Alligator mississippiensis: one gene and its partner. The protein of the gene in region 1 purifies or fractionates together with the protein of each later gene. This does not show direct contact. Links are inferred from orthologs where the notes say so. Each region holds a gene or a part of one and is shown in the gene's direction. Other genes may lie near its edges. The genes, in order: SLC7A14 and GOLM1.

The links.
Region 2: the proteins of SLC7A14 (region 1) and GOLM1 purify together in Homo sapiens (co-immunoprecipitation; 3 studies listed by BioGRID and IntAct, with this or other methods). This does not show direct contact. The link is inferred for Alligator mississippiensis from reciprocal best matches to the Homo sapiens genes SLC7A14 and GOLM1.

Annotation. Positions count from the first base shown.
Region 1 is NC_081830.1:75,001,620-75,009,370, reverse strand, and holds the start of SLC7A14 (probable cationic amino acid transporter), read left to right. Parts: upstream 1-4,509; 5' UTR 4,510-4,608; intron 4,609-7,751. UniProt on the Homo sapiens protein: Imports 4-aminobutanoate (GABA) into lysosomes. May act as a GABA sensor that regulates mTORC2-dependent INS signaling and gluconeogenesis. The transport mechanism and substrate selectivity remain to be elucidated.
Region 2 is NC_081826.1:204,365,007-204,372,983, reverse strand, and holds the start of GOLM1 (Golgi membrane protein 1), read left to right. Parts: upstream 1-4,873; 5' UTR 4,874-4,959; intron 4,960-5,243; exon of another isoform or gene 5,244-5,350; intron 5,351-5,361; exon of another isoform or gene 5,362-5,504; intron 5,505-7,977.

The DNA of each region.
Region 1 (7,751 bases):
ATAAGGGTTATAAGAGGGGTAAACAAGATAATGAAGGGAAGAGAGAAAAATCAATTGGGTGTTCCTGCTTATGTTTATTCAGTGTTAGAAGATAACATGGAGACAGCCTGAGCAACTGGAAAGGCCATATCCCTAAATCTGCTTGATACAGTAAATGATTAACTTGTGGAGCTCATTGCCACAAGATACCATTGAGGCCAAGACCTTAATAGAGTTCAAATAAAGATTTGCCATTTAAAAGAATGGTGAGAATATTGTCTGTGATTACATAAAACTTTGTAAAATAAATCATCTCTCCTAATTTGGTACATAATCCACTGACCACCTGGGCTTGAGAGGAATGTTTGCATAATTGCCCATTATGGGGATTCTCATACTGGCCATTTTCTGAGCAGGGATATTGGTGTGTAGGGATCATTGGCTTGGTATAGAAAGTTTTATGTCCCTGACAGATCCAAGTTTATCCAAATTTAGACACCTTTAGACTTTAAAGAGGCATCTAGGGAAATTTTAGATTTCAATGAGATTTAAATAAAGTAACTAAAGAAAAAAAAAAGGATTAAATCATCAAGAGCTTATAAGGGCTTCAGACAAAGAATCATTCCTTCATTATAAAAAAAAGGATATGGGGTCAGGAGTGGTCTGGATGGCTAGTGATAGCTAATGTTGGATGAAGCAGGAGCAAACATAGAGGAGCTAAGCTGCAATAGAAGCCTGGAGAAATGCTACAGCAAAATGACTGAGAGCAATAGGGGACAGGAGTCACAAGGGGATTAGAAAATGAAAATGATCTTTTGATATTGCAGAATGTGGATTTATTTTAAGGCGGTAGTTTTCAACCTTTTTTCATTTGTGGTCCCTTAAAAAAATTTGAATGGAGGTACAGACCCCTTCGGAAATTTCAAATGGAGATACAGACTCTTTTGAACTGTAAGTGTGTGTATTCTCATACTTTTGATTGATCATAGTCATTTTTCTCAGACCCCTTACGCACAGTGTGCAGACCCTCGGGGGTCTGCAGACAACAAGTTGAAAACCACTGCTCTAAGGCATACTCAGTGTCCCCTCTTTCAGACACCTACCAAAATGTACACACACACCTGCGAAAAAAGTACACTATTGCCAGGTAGCCTCCTTACTGAGCAGTTCTGGTCTCACTTACAACAACCTGCCCAGGTAAAGCCAGTGGAATTACTCTGGATTTACAAACTGGAGTAACTCACAACACAATTTGGCCTGAATTGTTGACAATAACCATCATTTAAGAAATATATATAAGATATAAGTATCATATAGTCACACACTGAACAGGCACAAAGGAATTTGACATGAGCATAAAAGGCTCACAACACTGAGTTCTAATCCATGAAACTATTAGAAGTACTGTATAATCATACAGAGCACCACAAGAAGTATTTTTCTTTTGCTTGGATTTGCTCTCCTCCTACTCTATGCTTGTCTGTATAGCAACATCAAAGTAAAACTCACAAGATCAGGGATCAGCAATTGCACACGGTACGTTTCATTTTGTTGCCCATGAACTGAGTCAAAAAGTGAAGGGCGTGGAAGTGAAAAAGAATCATATAAACAGCAGAGAAACAAGAAAGGAACCATGAAAGAATGGAAAAGCAGGGAAAACAATCCAAGTGTACAAAGGGCTGCATCTCTAGCTCTAAGCTTTGCTCTTTTTAATACTACTAAAGAACAAGGAAGACAACAAAATCCACTGCATGGTGTTTGCAAAGCTGTGAGTTGTGAGGGAGATCAAGGATTGTTCTGTACTTCTATGCTTGAGATGCACCTTTCGGTCTCACTGTCCAGGCCTGCAGAGTTCAGAAGTTCTACAAGAAAGGAACAATTCGTGTCATTCTGTGTTGATACCTCCAGTTGACCAAGAAACAGTCTGGAAGGGAATTCTGTTTAATCTTTGTCAGTTGGAAGTATGGCGGTTGCTTTAAGGATGAGAGGAATATGAGTTAAAGCCAAGAAGAGATGCAGAAACTATGGGACAGATAGGGGACTGGGAAACTATGGTCTTCTGGGAAGCCATAGAGAATACCACTCAGCATATGGCCTCATGACCTTTATGACTCATTGGGAAACTATAACTCTAAAAGCTATAACTGTCCCTAGAGTTTGTGCCCAAGAGTCACTGTTGCTGAGACACTATCCATCATGCCCTATTCAGGGAAGGCAAAGACTAGATTCCTAAAGAGAAAGGAGCTCACTGTTGTTTTTAGTCATGAATCATTTTTGTTTCAGGGCCTGGAGAAAAATAATACCTGCTTTCCACATCTTTCCAGCCCAGCATACAGACTTGACAATGGCCTACATTCAAATTTATAGCTCAATATTTTTATGGAAACTGAATTATTCAGATATTGCTGACAAAGCAAATCAAACAGAGTATGACTGCTCTGCAGCAGCTGGAAATGAGGACATCTGGATTTCATGTCAAAATGGCAGGAGCATAGAAGCACAGAAAATTAGAGTTGGAAGGGACCTTAGGAGGTCATCTAATCCAACCCCCTGCTCAAAGCAGGACCAACCCCAACTAAATCATCCCAGCCAAGGTTTTGTCTAACCAGGTCTTAAAAAACTCCAAGCATGGAGGTTCCACAACTTCTCTGGGTAACCTGTTCCAGCGCTTTACTACCCTCCTTGCGAGAAAGTTTTTCCTAATATCTAAACTAAACTTCCCTCGCTGCAACTTGAGACCGTTGCTCCTTGTTCTGTCATCTGACATCACTGAGAACAGTCCAACTGTATCCTATTTTGAACCCCACTTCTGGTAGTTTAAGACTGCTATTAAATCCCCTCTCAATTTTCTCTTTTCTAGACTAAATGAGCCCAGTTCCCTCAGTCTCTTCTCATAAGTCATGTGCCCCAGACCCTGAACCATTCTCCATGCTATCCACTGGACTCTCTCCAATTTGTTCACATACTTTATGTAGCGCGGGGGGCGGGGGGGGGTGCAAAACTGGACACAGTACTTCAGATGTGGCCTCACCAGTGCCAGATAGAGGGGAAGAATCATTTCCCCTACTCTGCTGGCAGCGCTGTCACTAATGCAGCCCAGTACACCGTTAGACTTATTTGCAGCAAAGGCACACTGTTGGTTCATATTCAGCTTATTGTCCACTGTAACCCCCAGGTCTTTTTCTGCAGAGTTGCTACTTAGCCAATCGCCCTCCAGCCTGTACTACTGCATGGGACTGATCCATCCTAAGCGCAGGACTTTGCATTTGTCCTTATTGAACCTCATGATATTTCTTCTGGTCCAGTCCTTCAGTTATTTGAGGTCTCTGAATCCTAGCCCTACCCTCCAGCATATCTACTAGTGCCCCCAGCTTGGTGTCATCTGCAAACTTGCTGAGGGTGCGCTCCACCCCATGTTCCAGATTGTTTTCAAAGATATTAAACAAATGAATAAGGGAAAGTGGAAATTTATGGAAGGGTTCAAAGAAGGTGGCAAGAATTCAGTGCAGACACTAAATGAAAAAAGGCAATGGGAAATACACTTGATCTGAGCTGACAAGAGGCTGAGAAGCAAATGACCGACAAGAGGCCGAGAACGTTCATCGCAGCCCAAACTTCCCAACACAAAACAAGAGTGTGTTCAAAACCTGGCCCTGTATTTGGCAAGTGGACCCTATCTTTCCAATAAGGCAAACCACAATCACCGACCAAAATGTAACACAGTGGGCTAGCGCGCAAGGAGCAGGCGTTGAGGGGATGGGGAGTAACTTCAGACCAAGCCCCAGCAGATCCCAGAATCTCTTTCCGTGGGTCAGGACTAAAGCAGGGAAAGACACAGCGTCCAGCATGTGACCGAAACGCCTTTGTGTGTTTGAGACATTCAAGAGGCAGTTGGATAGATACCTGGCTGGGGTATTACGATCCCAGCGCTCGTTCCTTCCCAGGGCAGGGGCTCGGACTTGATGATCTGTTCAGGTCCCTTCTGACCCTAGAAGCCATGAAACCTGTGGCCTGAATTGTACAGGGTAGCCGAGCTCCAGGAGAGGAGAGGAGAGGAGAGGAGAGGAGAGGGGCCCCTCGCCCTCTTTGAGAGACCTCACGCTCCCTCTGCAAGGCACCTGGGAAAGGCCATTCCCAGGGCAGGCAATGGGCAGCTGCCGCGCCAGAGACAGATGCTGGGGGCACAGGTGAGCGGCGCAGCTTCCTCCGCAGCCCCCAGCGCGCCCGCGGCAGCCAGACCCCGCGGAGGGTCGCAGTGCCTGGTGTGTCTTCTCGCAAAGATGGGGCGTATCCCTTGCGCCGAGGCAAGGGCAGGGCTCGCAGGGGCAGTGCGAGACCCCGGTGCGGGGCGGGCAGGCGGGACCTGCGGCGCGGGCGGATCACGTGGCGGGGGAAGCTCTGAATAATTGAGGAGCTGCAGCGCCGCCTCCCCGCCCGCCCGCAGCCCGGGCTGGAGCCAGCCCGCCCCGCCCGCCCGCCCGCCCGCCCGCAGCCCGCTGCAGCCTCGGCCGGCGGCAGCGCGGAGCCGCGTCTCCCCGCGCACGCAGCTCCCCCGGCACCGAGCGCACCGCGCCGCGCCGCGCCGCAGCCCTGCCCTGCCCTGCCCTGCCCAGCGGCCTCCCGCGCCGGGTGAGTGCCTGCGGGGACGGGGGACCGCGCACCTGGGGCTGCCCTGTGGGGCGGGGGTGGCCACCACTTTCCTGCTGGGGCGCAAGCGGGATGCAGGGGGTCTGGCCAAGTTGGGAGGGACGCTGGGGTCTGCCCCCAGGACGAGGCGGTGTCCCTGTCCCTTTGCTCCCCTTGGCCAGCGAGGCATCGCCGCGTGGGCCCGTCTCTGGGGGGGCGTCTGACCCCAGCGCTCTTTCCCGCCCAGGGCAGGGGGTCGGACTCCATGATCCGTTGAGGTCCTTTCCAACCCCGGCATCAGTGAATGGATGTCTCTTTGCTTGCTTCTCTTGGCTGAGGGGCCGCCAAACGGAGGGGGGGGGGGTCCCAGGGACTCGTGTGGGTCTCAAGGCTGCGCGGTGAAAGGGAGCAGGGGACGTGATGGGTTGAAGTCGGATGAGCTCAGGATGAATAGGAAGCCGAGCGAGATGCAGAGCGAATGGATAAATACCAGCGGATCTGACAGAAACGGTCCAGGCCCAGCGCTGCTTTCTTGTCCTGGCTTGTCTTGTCCAAAATAAGACGGTGCTGAGAAGGGGTGTCCAGGCCTGAAAGGGCTATAGGATGTCAAGGAGGCAGGTAACGGGTAGGACAGGAGAGAAAGAGATTGTAAAGCAGGCACAGAAAGTGAATGGCTGGTTACAGCTACCTGGCAGGCTCGCCGTGTGATTTATCTCCCTTGCCGTAAGACAAGTCCTCCTGTGGAAAGGGACTGGACGTCATTAGTTGCCGGCAAAATGGAGAGGCCTCAGAGAAGGGCTAATTTTGCTTGATGTGAAAAATGATTCATCTCCTTTTTTTCAAAAACCTGGATTGTGGTTGATGGACTTGAAATCTGTTCTTGTCATAGCCACAAGTTCTCTCTCTGTCTCAGCTCATTAGTCTGAGATATAATTATCTATCTATCTATCTATCTATCTATCTATCTATCTATCTATCTATCTATCATGGAAGTTAAATAGGTTAGCTGATGGTTTCACAGAATTTTGGGGATGAAAAGGGCTCTATAAAGCTGAATATTTATTTATAAACATGGGTTGAAAGAGCCCAGAAGTGCACTACAGAATAAGTAGTAGATGTGGGCGCTGTTCGAGGTGCTGAAACCCTCATTTTTCACATCAGTAAAAGGCTCTGCTAGCCAGGAATATTTAAAGTACAAACACCTTTAAGTTAAGAAAGCCATTCTATGGATAACAGGAAGAAAACAGCCTGACATTGTTAAGAAAAGGATGAGCTCCCAAATGTGTGGCTTGATGCTCCCAGTTTTCAAAGAGTGTAAGCAGTAGTGGTCACATTCACCCTGAGGTGACTCCAGGGTCCCATCTTACCTGCCATATAGCCAGCCCTTTTCATCTGCTTAAAATACTTTGAAAATCCTCCCATTTCTGTTCAAAACTAGTTAAACAGGAGGTCGCTTTCTCCTCAGGTACAGTCTTCTCATGGTTTGCACAAGCTGTTTTAGGTTGTTGTCTGCTGGGTTCCAGTGGAACCTCTGAATCCTGTTCCTCAAATCCTCCAAAATTTTAAAAAGTTAAAAAAGCAATAGTAACATTTGCCACCCCAAGGGAAAACTCCTGTCCACTGATGCAAATTGGCCCTGCTCAGGGAGGTATGGCTTAATGACATTAATCTGGCCCATTATTTAACTCATCCTCTCAACATTCCCAAGTAGTAGGCAAGTAAATTTTACCATGACATTTGTTCAATGACATTGTTCAATTTGTCATCTGAGTTTGGTTAATGAAAGTAAGTGCATAGATGTATTGTATTTAACTTTGTGTAAGGTGTTTGACTGAACACTGACACCTTCCAAATAAAAAAAATAGTACCAAACAATATCATTAGAGTGCACATTATCTAGCTTAAGACCTGACTAACTAACCAGACTCAAAAAGCAGTTGTCATTTGGGACTATTTGTTGAATGGGTGGGTTTCTGCAGTTCCTTGGGGATCACTACTAGGCCCACTGCTACTGCACATTTTCATCAGCGATCTTTAAACAAACATAATCACTTTTGATAAACTTTGCAGATAGCTCAAAGATCAACAGAGTAGCAAATAATTATGAGGGCAGGAAAATCAAACAGTAATTTGGATCACCTAGTAAGCAGGTCCCATTTAAACAGAATGTTTTAATATCCCCATATATGAAGTTATTCCTCCAGAAAAAGGAATGCAGACTACATATGCAGAATGCAGTGACTCTAAAAAAGATCTGAGGAGACAAGCGAGTTAAGTGCCACTTGAGGCAAAAGGAGCACATTAAATATTTGTATAAACAGGGGAGCGGTGACTTGGAGCAGGGAGGTGATTTTACTCTTGCACATAGCATTGTGAAACTGATACTGGGACATTGTGTACAGTTCTGATGTCCACATTTTAAAGAGGAAGTCTGAAAAATTAAGAGACTTCAAGAAAGTGTCACCAAATAATTTGAGGGGTGGAGAAAATGCTGTACAGTGTGGGAATGTCTACAAGTGCATTTTAATGCACAGTCAGCTATTTTACTGCTTATTAAAGTATCACATAAAAAACTACAATGACAACTAATGCACAGTAAAATAGGCATCACATTAAGTATCACTTAAAAACAGTGCACATTTGTTACTGCATATTAAGGAAGCCTAATGCACATTTCTTTAGTCCCTCACATTGGAGTACTAAATTGAATGTGCATTAGAAGAAGCACCTTAATGCATGTGTAGACATGCCCTGTGAGAACTAAAGAGATCCACCTGCATAGATAATCAAAAAGATGACTGACGGGCACATTTACGATATGTAAATATCTACACAGGAAACAAATACTGGCTACTAAAGGGCTGTGTTTTTCCTAGTAAAAAAAAAAAAAGACAAAGACAAAAAATGTGCAATAGGAACAAACCAGAGCCAGTCAAATTCAAATTAGAAATAAGACACAAGTTTTTAGTAGAGGATGTGATTAACCATTAGAATATGCTCTCCTGGGAAGTATCATATCTCCCATTTTTTAGGTCTTCATGTCAAGACTGAATGCCTTTACCTAAACACAAGTTGTGTTTTAGTCAGGCAAGTTATATACCTCAATACAGAAGGCAACTGCATGTAATATTCAGGAATCCAGACTA
Region 2 (7,977 bases), on another chromosome or scaffold:
CTTAGATAGACAAGGAATGAGATAGAGACAGCTCCTGGTGAAATTACAATATTGGTTGAGCAACTGAGCAGATCGTCATTAAGAAGAAGGAAGGGCCTCTTAACACTGGGTTTTTGTCCTGATTTGGTATTTGGTGAGTCCAGCCCCTTTTAGATATATCCCTTCTAAAGAACTTTTGTTTTTTTGGTTCAGGGAGGAAGAACATTAGCACTAAGTTTATAGATGTCAAAGAGAATTAGCAGGCATTACTACCACGTGTGGGACCATTGGTAATGCATAGGGGGTGCACACAGTTGCAAGTGCACTCCGTGAGATTGGTGGTGCACCTCCAACAAGTGCTGCTGATGCTGCTGGTGGTGCCTGTGGGCGGTTGCTGCTCACCACCTGCCCTTGCCGCCGACTCTGCTGGTGACGTCTGCAGGTGGTTGCCAACTGCCAGTCAGCGCTCGCCACCTCTTCCCCCGCTGCTGACACTGCTACGGCTGCTTGCAGGAGCTCCTCGCGCATTGCTACCGCCGCTGCCTGCAGGCAGTCACTGTGCCCCCCAGCCCCTGGGGGCACGCGTCGTTCATGTATGGGACCCTATAATTTACCATCTTTTTTTACCATGATCCTTACAAATGTTCTGACAAGGGGTAAAACCCTGTCTCCACTGAAGTCAATGATTACATTTCCATTGACTGCACCCAGGATTTTGGCTAAGACAGAAAGAGCAAGTTGAGGTCATTGTGTTGGCTAAATCTTAAACAATAACTCAGATGTGAACACAAAGTATCTACCCTTACACAATCTCTAACTTGTTTGTTTCTTTCTTCACCTTCATCCTTTCTTTTGCACTTTTTTCCTTTTGTCTCTTTATCCTTGTGTAATAAGAATTTAGCTTAGCCATTCAGAACAAACATCACTTTGGCTATGACCAAAAAGGCAAGCTATACACATTGCTGCAACATTCTGATTCAGTATGCCAAGTTCTGGAATAGGTAATAAATTCACATATGATAAGCTGTGCCTGCAGTTTTCCAGTCACTGGAAATCACTGTATCTGTTACAGACAGAAACTGTATTTTCTCATGTGCTATTGTTCTTCCCTCTTTTTGTGCCTATGTGTGTGCATGTCTAATACATGGACAGAACAAGGAAGTTCAAGGTTAAGACTAACACTACATCAGTAACTCTTAGGTATGCTTGGTTGACAACTTAGTTTAAGGGAGGAGTGAATTTCAGTAGAAGTGACCTCTTACAAAGGCATTATTGTATTCTGGTAACAGTGGTGGATACACGATTCTGAAAAGAAGGTATTTTCTGTATTTTGTATATATTCCATGAGGACAGTCTCCAAGACCAATAAATATAATATTGCTTTCCTATATAGCTAACTTTCACAAGGACCCTATGTCTTTTACATGATCAAAATGTGGCTTTTAGGTGCAACGTGTGTGTAACTCATCCTCCTGGGTTTTAATAACATAAATTATTTACTGCCTAATGGCAAAATTGGCAGGATAAGAGCAGAGAGCAAAGTTAGAAGACAGCAGAATGTGAGGAAAAAGGGAACACATTATTTTGCATAGACTTAGAACTTTGATTCATTAATGGAAATGATAGAAACCTTTCATAAAGCACAGAATATATAAAACAGGCCTGATAAATATTTAAAGATGCTAGACTGTACGTGTCAAGCATTTATATGTCAGCTACTTCTTGGAGTCATGGTTCTTTCTAAACTTTAAGATAATCTTTTCACATGGATGAACTGTCCTTGATCAATTTGCATAGTGTCTTTAAGCAGAAACATATTCTTTCTTCAACATTGGAATGCCTTTTGCTTTGTTTTTTTTTTTCTTAAGGGGACATATTCGTTTGATCAGCACCTACTCTTTAGGTAGGTGCTGTGTTTAGGCTCCGATGTAGCAGTAGCAGTGCTAATTGATGAAATGAAGGCTATGCTTTTCAACCCTAAGGACTTTTACATGATACTTCTGCTCAGCAAGTGGCTAGCATTGTTAAAAGTTTGAACTTCTAAGAGTGAAATTGGTTTTGCCTCAACTGCATCAGGGTTGTACCTACCTACTAGGTATCTCAACTGTGACTAGTCCATAAATAACCATTACTAATATTATGAGAGTCACACCTCTACTGAAAGTCCTACTCCCACTCCTTCCTTAAAATGGTTAACCTTGCTCCCAGTCATCTTTGCAGCGATATTCTTACCTTGCTGCACCCTTTTTATATAATATTTCCATGCATACAATTGGCTTCATTTGAGAATCTCATTGACACAGGCTCCAAAGAATTTTTACAATACTTTAAAAGAACAGTGTTCCTTGTACATCTTCAAACGTATGCTGTTAAAGAGTACAATTCTAAGGTAAAAACCAATTAAAAGGGCTATCCTTTTAATTTTAAAACATTTTGAACTTTTCCCTCTCTTCTTTTAGCTTGAAAATGTGAGGAGAAATCCTGGCCTTGCTGAAAAGTCAGTGGCATCAACATGCTAGGATTTGATGTGATATTTTTTCCTAACTGATTTTATCCTTTTCACGTCTAGCAGAGAGAAAATTAAGATGCGTTATCAATAGAGTTACTAGGGCAGACACTCAGCTGAGTAACACGAGCATGAAGAGTAGGCGCATACAGTATTTGAGCACACCTTTACTTATTATATTTAAATTGCCTTGGGGCAGGAATGAGTTTCCATTGTGCTAAGTGCTGTACAAGCATAGTAAAATGTCCTTGTCTCATAGTGTTTTAAAAGCACAGCACCTATTATAAAAAGGCTTATGTCTGCTTCAGGTTGGTAAGGATTTTGGAGGGGTGATATAGCACTACATAACTTTAGTGTGATCCAAGGAGTATTTCATCATTTATGTGGGGGTTAAAAATCCAGTTTCTTATTCAAAATACAACTCAGTATGTGTACGTACATGTGTGCTGGGTGGTGGAAGCTGGTGATATAGCCTGCTAATTTCACAAAGAAAAAAGCTCCAAGGTAGGGAATGACATCCGCCAGATAGCTTAAAAGTCTGAGGACACAAGGGACATTACATTGAAGATGATCCTTTAGGTATTTCTTTTCACTTACAGCCACTCGAAGTCCAGTTCCTTACTTTGAACAATCCAATTAATAAATATGAATATAAATTTATATAAATAAATTCAAATTATTTTGGTTAAATTTCTATTTTTTTAAAGGTCTTTGGATAAGAAACTGGGAATGAGAATCCAGATCCAACCTGACGGTTTTTTGAAGCTTGGCACTGCAGCATATGAATTTTTATTAAACTGTTCGTTCCAACAGAAATTGGAATCTTTTTATTAAACCTCCTAGGTAAGAATCCACAGGAGACATTTTATCTCAAAATAATTTATTTCTGCGAATAATTTTCAAACTTCTTCACATACTTTATTGTCCACATAATGATGCATTTGAGTAGTTTTACAAGCTTCTTTCCCTCTGCTGTTCTATTCTGTCTGTCCCATCTTGAAAGGAAAACAGGATGTGGAAGCAAAGCTAACAAATTGGGGTTCCAACTGGTTGAGGAATGGTTGCTGTTGCACCCCTTCCCTCAGTCTTACACACTCATAAAAAGTTTGTTTTTCACCAGAATTGTAGTGAAAGTTTTACATGATTCCAAAACATATTGAAAAAAAATGTTCTGAATCAATTCATGGTGTTACATAAGCACGTGAAATACTCAGCTGCATCCAGATGGCTCTCTTCCTCAGAAATGTAAATAGTGTGGACCCCTTTTTTTCTAACATTGGCTTTTAGTTTTCTGGGTTGTGTGGATGCTCCGTTTGTCAGACATTCATGTGTGTCAGGCATCAAGCTCAAGATACTGAGGCCTGCCCAATCAATAATAATTGTTGAAAGCTTGGACTATAGCAGTTATTTTTATTTTTTTTTTATGTCTCTCTCAATTTAGACTGCAGACATACAGGCTAGGGGATGGTGCTGGCTGGTGATGTAACACATTTTAAAACATGAAGTTTATTACTCTTCAGAACGTTAAAAGGAAATATTCCCTCACACAAAGCTTCAAGACATTAGGAAGAATGGGATAATGGAGATTCTTTTTCCCCCAACTGTAAGTCTGTGGTATGGATCTAGCTGGCATTAATTGAGTTGTTGCTTTTGTCCATAATAAAAATCACACCAGTGACACTGTAACAATAGCAGTCTTGGCCTTTTTGGAGGGCTTTTGTGAAACCAGGGTCTGAAACCACAAGATTTGATTGTAACTGGGGCTCATAACACTCTTAGCAGGATTAGCAGCAGCCAGTCCTGATAGTCTCAAGTCAGGCATTAGGCAGGAGACATTGGTTGTAAGGGTTCCCCTGCTTTACCTGTGGCAGGTGAAGTTGTTGAGGCATGTGTTGCGTCAGGGCACAAGGCAGTCTTGTGAAGTGTTTTTAGATCAGCGATTCCCAAACTGGGTCTTGACTCCAAATGAGGTTGCATATATCAGTGGATGGGGTCATGGGGGTGGGGAGCAAGGGGTCATGCTGAGGAAAAGGGGCCATAAATGGAGAAGAAAAGTTTGAGAAGCACTAGTTTAGATGAAGGATGTGTGTGGGAAAGTTTAGACAGGGATGGTCCTGCCTCAGGCAGGGGTGCTGGACTAGGTGACCTCTGGGAGGTCCCTTCCAGCCCGACTTCTCCCAGGGCCATGAACGATGCATGCCCCTGGAGTTTGGGGGGGCCTGGTGACTGCCCACTGGTGGCCACAGCAGTGTCAGCTGCCGGGGGAGGGGGAGCAGGGGAGGCGACTCGGGGGGCGGAGTAGGCGAGCGCTGACCTGCAGTCGGTGACCACCTGCAGCGTTGGTGGCAGCCAATCACGGGGGGTGCATGTGCACCCCTACGCCTCGCCCATGCCCTAGGAGTGTCTTTGGGGCACCCCCTGGAGCAAGCTGCTGCTGCTGACCAAAGCTGATGGACCCAGCTCTGCTCTGCAAGGTACCGATCTCACCCCGCTTTCCCTCAGCTACAGCCAAGGGCCAGAGCCTGTGGCCAAGTGCCTCCTGCTTTGCCCAGGCCAGGCTGCCAGCGGCATCTCCCCCGCGCGGGCTGTGCCGAGCGGCCAGAGCCCACATGGCCGGGGGGAGCTGGCGGCGGGCACTGAGGCGGCGCCGGGCGGGGAGCCGACGAGGCGGCGCGCTGAGGGGCTGTCCCGCGCCGAGGGAGGGGGGCGCCCGACCTGGCCGCCATTGGCAGGCTGCCTTCGCCCTCCTCCCGCCGCACTTCCTGCGCTGCGCTGCGCTGCGCTGCCCTGCCCTGCCCGCGGCGCCGCCTCCCTGCCGGCCGTGGGGCGGGCGCGCGCGAAGCAGCCCGGCCCGGCTTGGGAGAGGTGAGCGCGGCGCAGCGCCCTGCCCGTCCACCCGCCGCCCCGCTCTTTGTCTCGGCGGAGCCGCAGCTCCACGCCAAGCCGCGCCAAGCCGGGGGCAGGGGGGACTCCCCTCCCCGGCCCGGCCCGGCCCGGCCCGGCCCCGAGCAGGGAGAAGGTGACTTGGGGGCGGGAGCCCGCGGGAAACGAGCACGCCGGGGCCGGGACCTCCGCGCGGGTGCGGGTGCGCGGGGGGAGGCCGCCTCTTCACCTGCGTCTTGTGCGGGGGACTACGTGCGTGTGCCGCGTGCACTCGTGTGTCTGTCGTGTGTGTGTGTGCATGTGCACTCATGCCGATCGTGCCCTGTGCATGTGTCAGTCATGTGTTGTGCTTGCACACGTCTCTCGTGGGTGTGCGGGGGGGGCACACACCTGTTGCGTGTGCGTGTTGCATGGGCACATGCATCTCATTTGGGTGTGTTGCGTGGGCGTGCATGTCTCGTACGTGGGCACGCGTGCACCTGTCGTGTGTGCACATGCGTGTCACACGTGTGGGCGCACCCGTGTCTTGTGTGCGCGTGTGTGCACATGGGCATGCTCGCATCTCAAGTGTGTGTGAGCGTGCTCACACATGCATCTTGTGTTTGTGTGTTCGTGGGCGTGCTCATATCTCGCGTGGGCATGCTTGCATCTCGCGTGTGTGCGTGGGCAGGCATGCACCTGACACGCGCTTGTGTGTGCGTGAGCACACATGCATCACACCTATGTGGTTGTCCACATGTCCACACAGGTGTCTTGTGCGTGTGTGGGTGCGTGCTCGCACATCTGTCTATGTGGGTGGGTCTGTGTGTGTGGAGAGAGGCGCTTAGCCCTGTTAGCCTGAAATCCAGCGGAGGGCAGGGTAGATCTGCACCTGTGTAGACCCATGTAGGTATAGACTCAGCCTTAGACACGAAGTGGATATGTGTTTGTGTCATTCTCCTCTTCAGCTGCTTCGTTAGCCTCTTCAGGAAGTCTGTCTGTGCTGAAGAGTGGCAGAGCTTAGCATTGTCCAAGTGTGGGCTTGGCTTACCTGAGTCTTGGTTCAAAGAGATGTATTTTCATGAATGTGGTTGGTGATGACATTAGGTATATAACAGCATACACCCAGCTACACCCCTGTGCAACTTCCCTTCTGTGTAAATGCCTGCTTTAGACAGACGATATGTACAGACATTCACTCTTCCAGGAGAAGCTCTCCTGCGAGCAGTTTAACCCTGATTTGTTCCCAAGTTATTTTTCTCCTGGGGAAAAAAAAACTATTTTGGGAGAAGAAGCCTAAGCATGTGTATGCTCATGGTTTCTCCTGACAGAGTAGTGGCTCTCCCAGGAGAAACTGAATGTCTGTACAGCACTCTCTCTGTAGACCTGTTTTGGATTTTTAAAGTGCAGTACATGTAGAAGGTCTGTTTTTCTTTCAGCGTTGGGGCTGATAGAAACATGCTATTTCCCATGATGTAAATGGTTTTATAGAAGGAAGAAATCTCTAGCTTGTAGAACAGAGCAGTGGTTTTCAGTCAGGGTGCCATGGCATCCTGGGATGCCTTGAGATCCTTTCAACAGTACTGCAGGGTTGCATACTGTGTTAGCACTGTTAGGTGTGCAAGCATCATCCAAAAGATAAACTCAGAGATTGCAAATAGGAATCCACAGTGTTAAACACATTCTGACCTGTTGTAGTCTTTCAGGGCTCTGTGACAGAAGAATTACTATATTTTTCTGTAGTCCAAAAATGAGTGACAGCTAAGAGCTAACATTTTATGAGCAGTTCTTTAACACTATATAGGGATGCTGTGATGCTAAGAAAGCTGAGAACCACTGGGACAGAGTAATGGCTTTCTAAGTTGTAAGCGGCATTTCTCATGTAGAAGATTCCTTAATTTCTAAGGAATTGATATCCATTTGTGACAAAATATTCAGCAGCATCAGTTCTGAGTAATACTGTAGTACTTCATTTATATTCAGCAAGCTGTTAACCTCATTAATGAGCTTTTTTGTACCTTGGAGTTGGATAAAATATCATTCAGTCAGCTATCTGCCTCTTGTAAACTTCCTTATATCACCCACCACTGAGCCTTGCCTCTTTTTAACTTTGCTTTAACTGGTATAATACTGATATTTGTTACTGAGGGAAGGAAAAATGCAGCATAAAATTACATATAAACTTCATTTGAGAGGAGTGGTTGGATTAGTTGGCCTCTTTGGGGCACTAAGTGAGAGTACTACACTGAGCTCTTAAAGAACAAGCAAGCCTCTTGGAAGCAGGATATAACATTCTTGGTGGGTTACTGTACTCTCTAAAGCAGTGATTCACAACCAGGGTGTTACTGGCATGTGAGAGGGTAAGTACATAAGGGCAGGTTTGGGCTCTCCCTGCCTGGCTGCTCCTTTTTCCTCACTGCCTGGCCCTTCCTCAAGATGATATGCACTGTAATAAGGTAGTTTTGTGAATTGAGCTGCACCCCATTTAAAAAAGTTATGGACTGGTGCCTCTAGTCTACAAAAAGTTGAGAACCATTTCTCTATAGGGAAACTCTCAAATTGTACTTCTGAAAACTTGCTTGTTGCAAGTAGCAGTTCAGATCACAACAACAGTTGTTTTTTTAAATGTT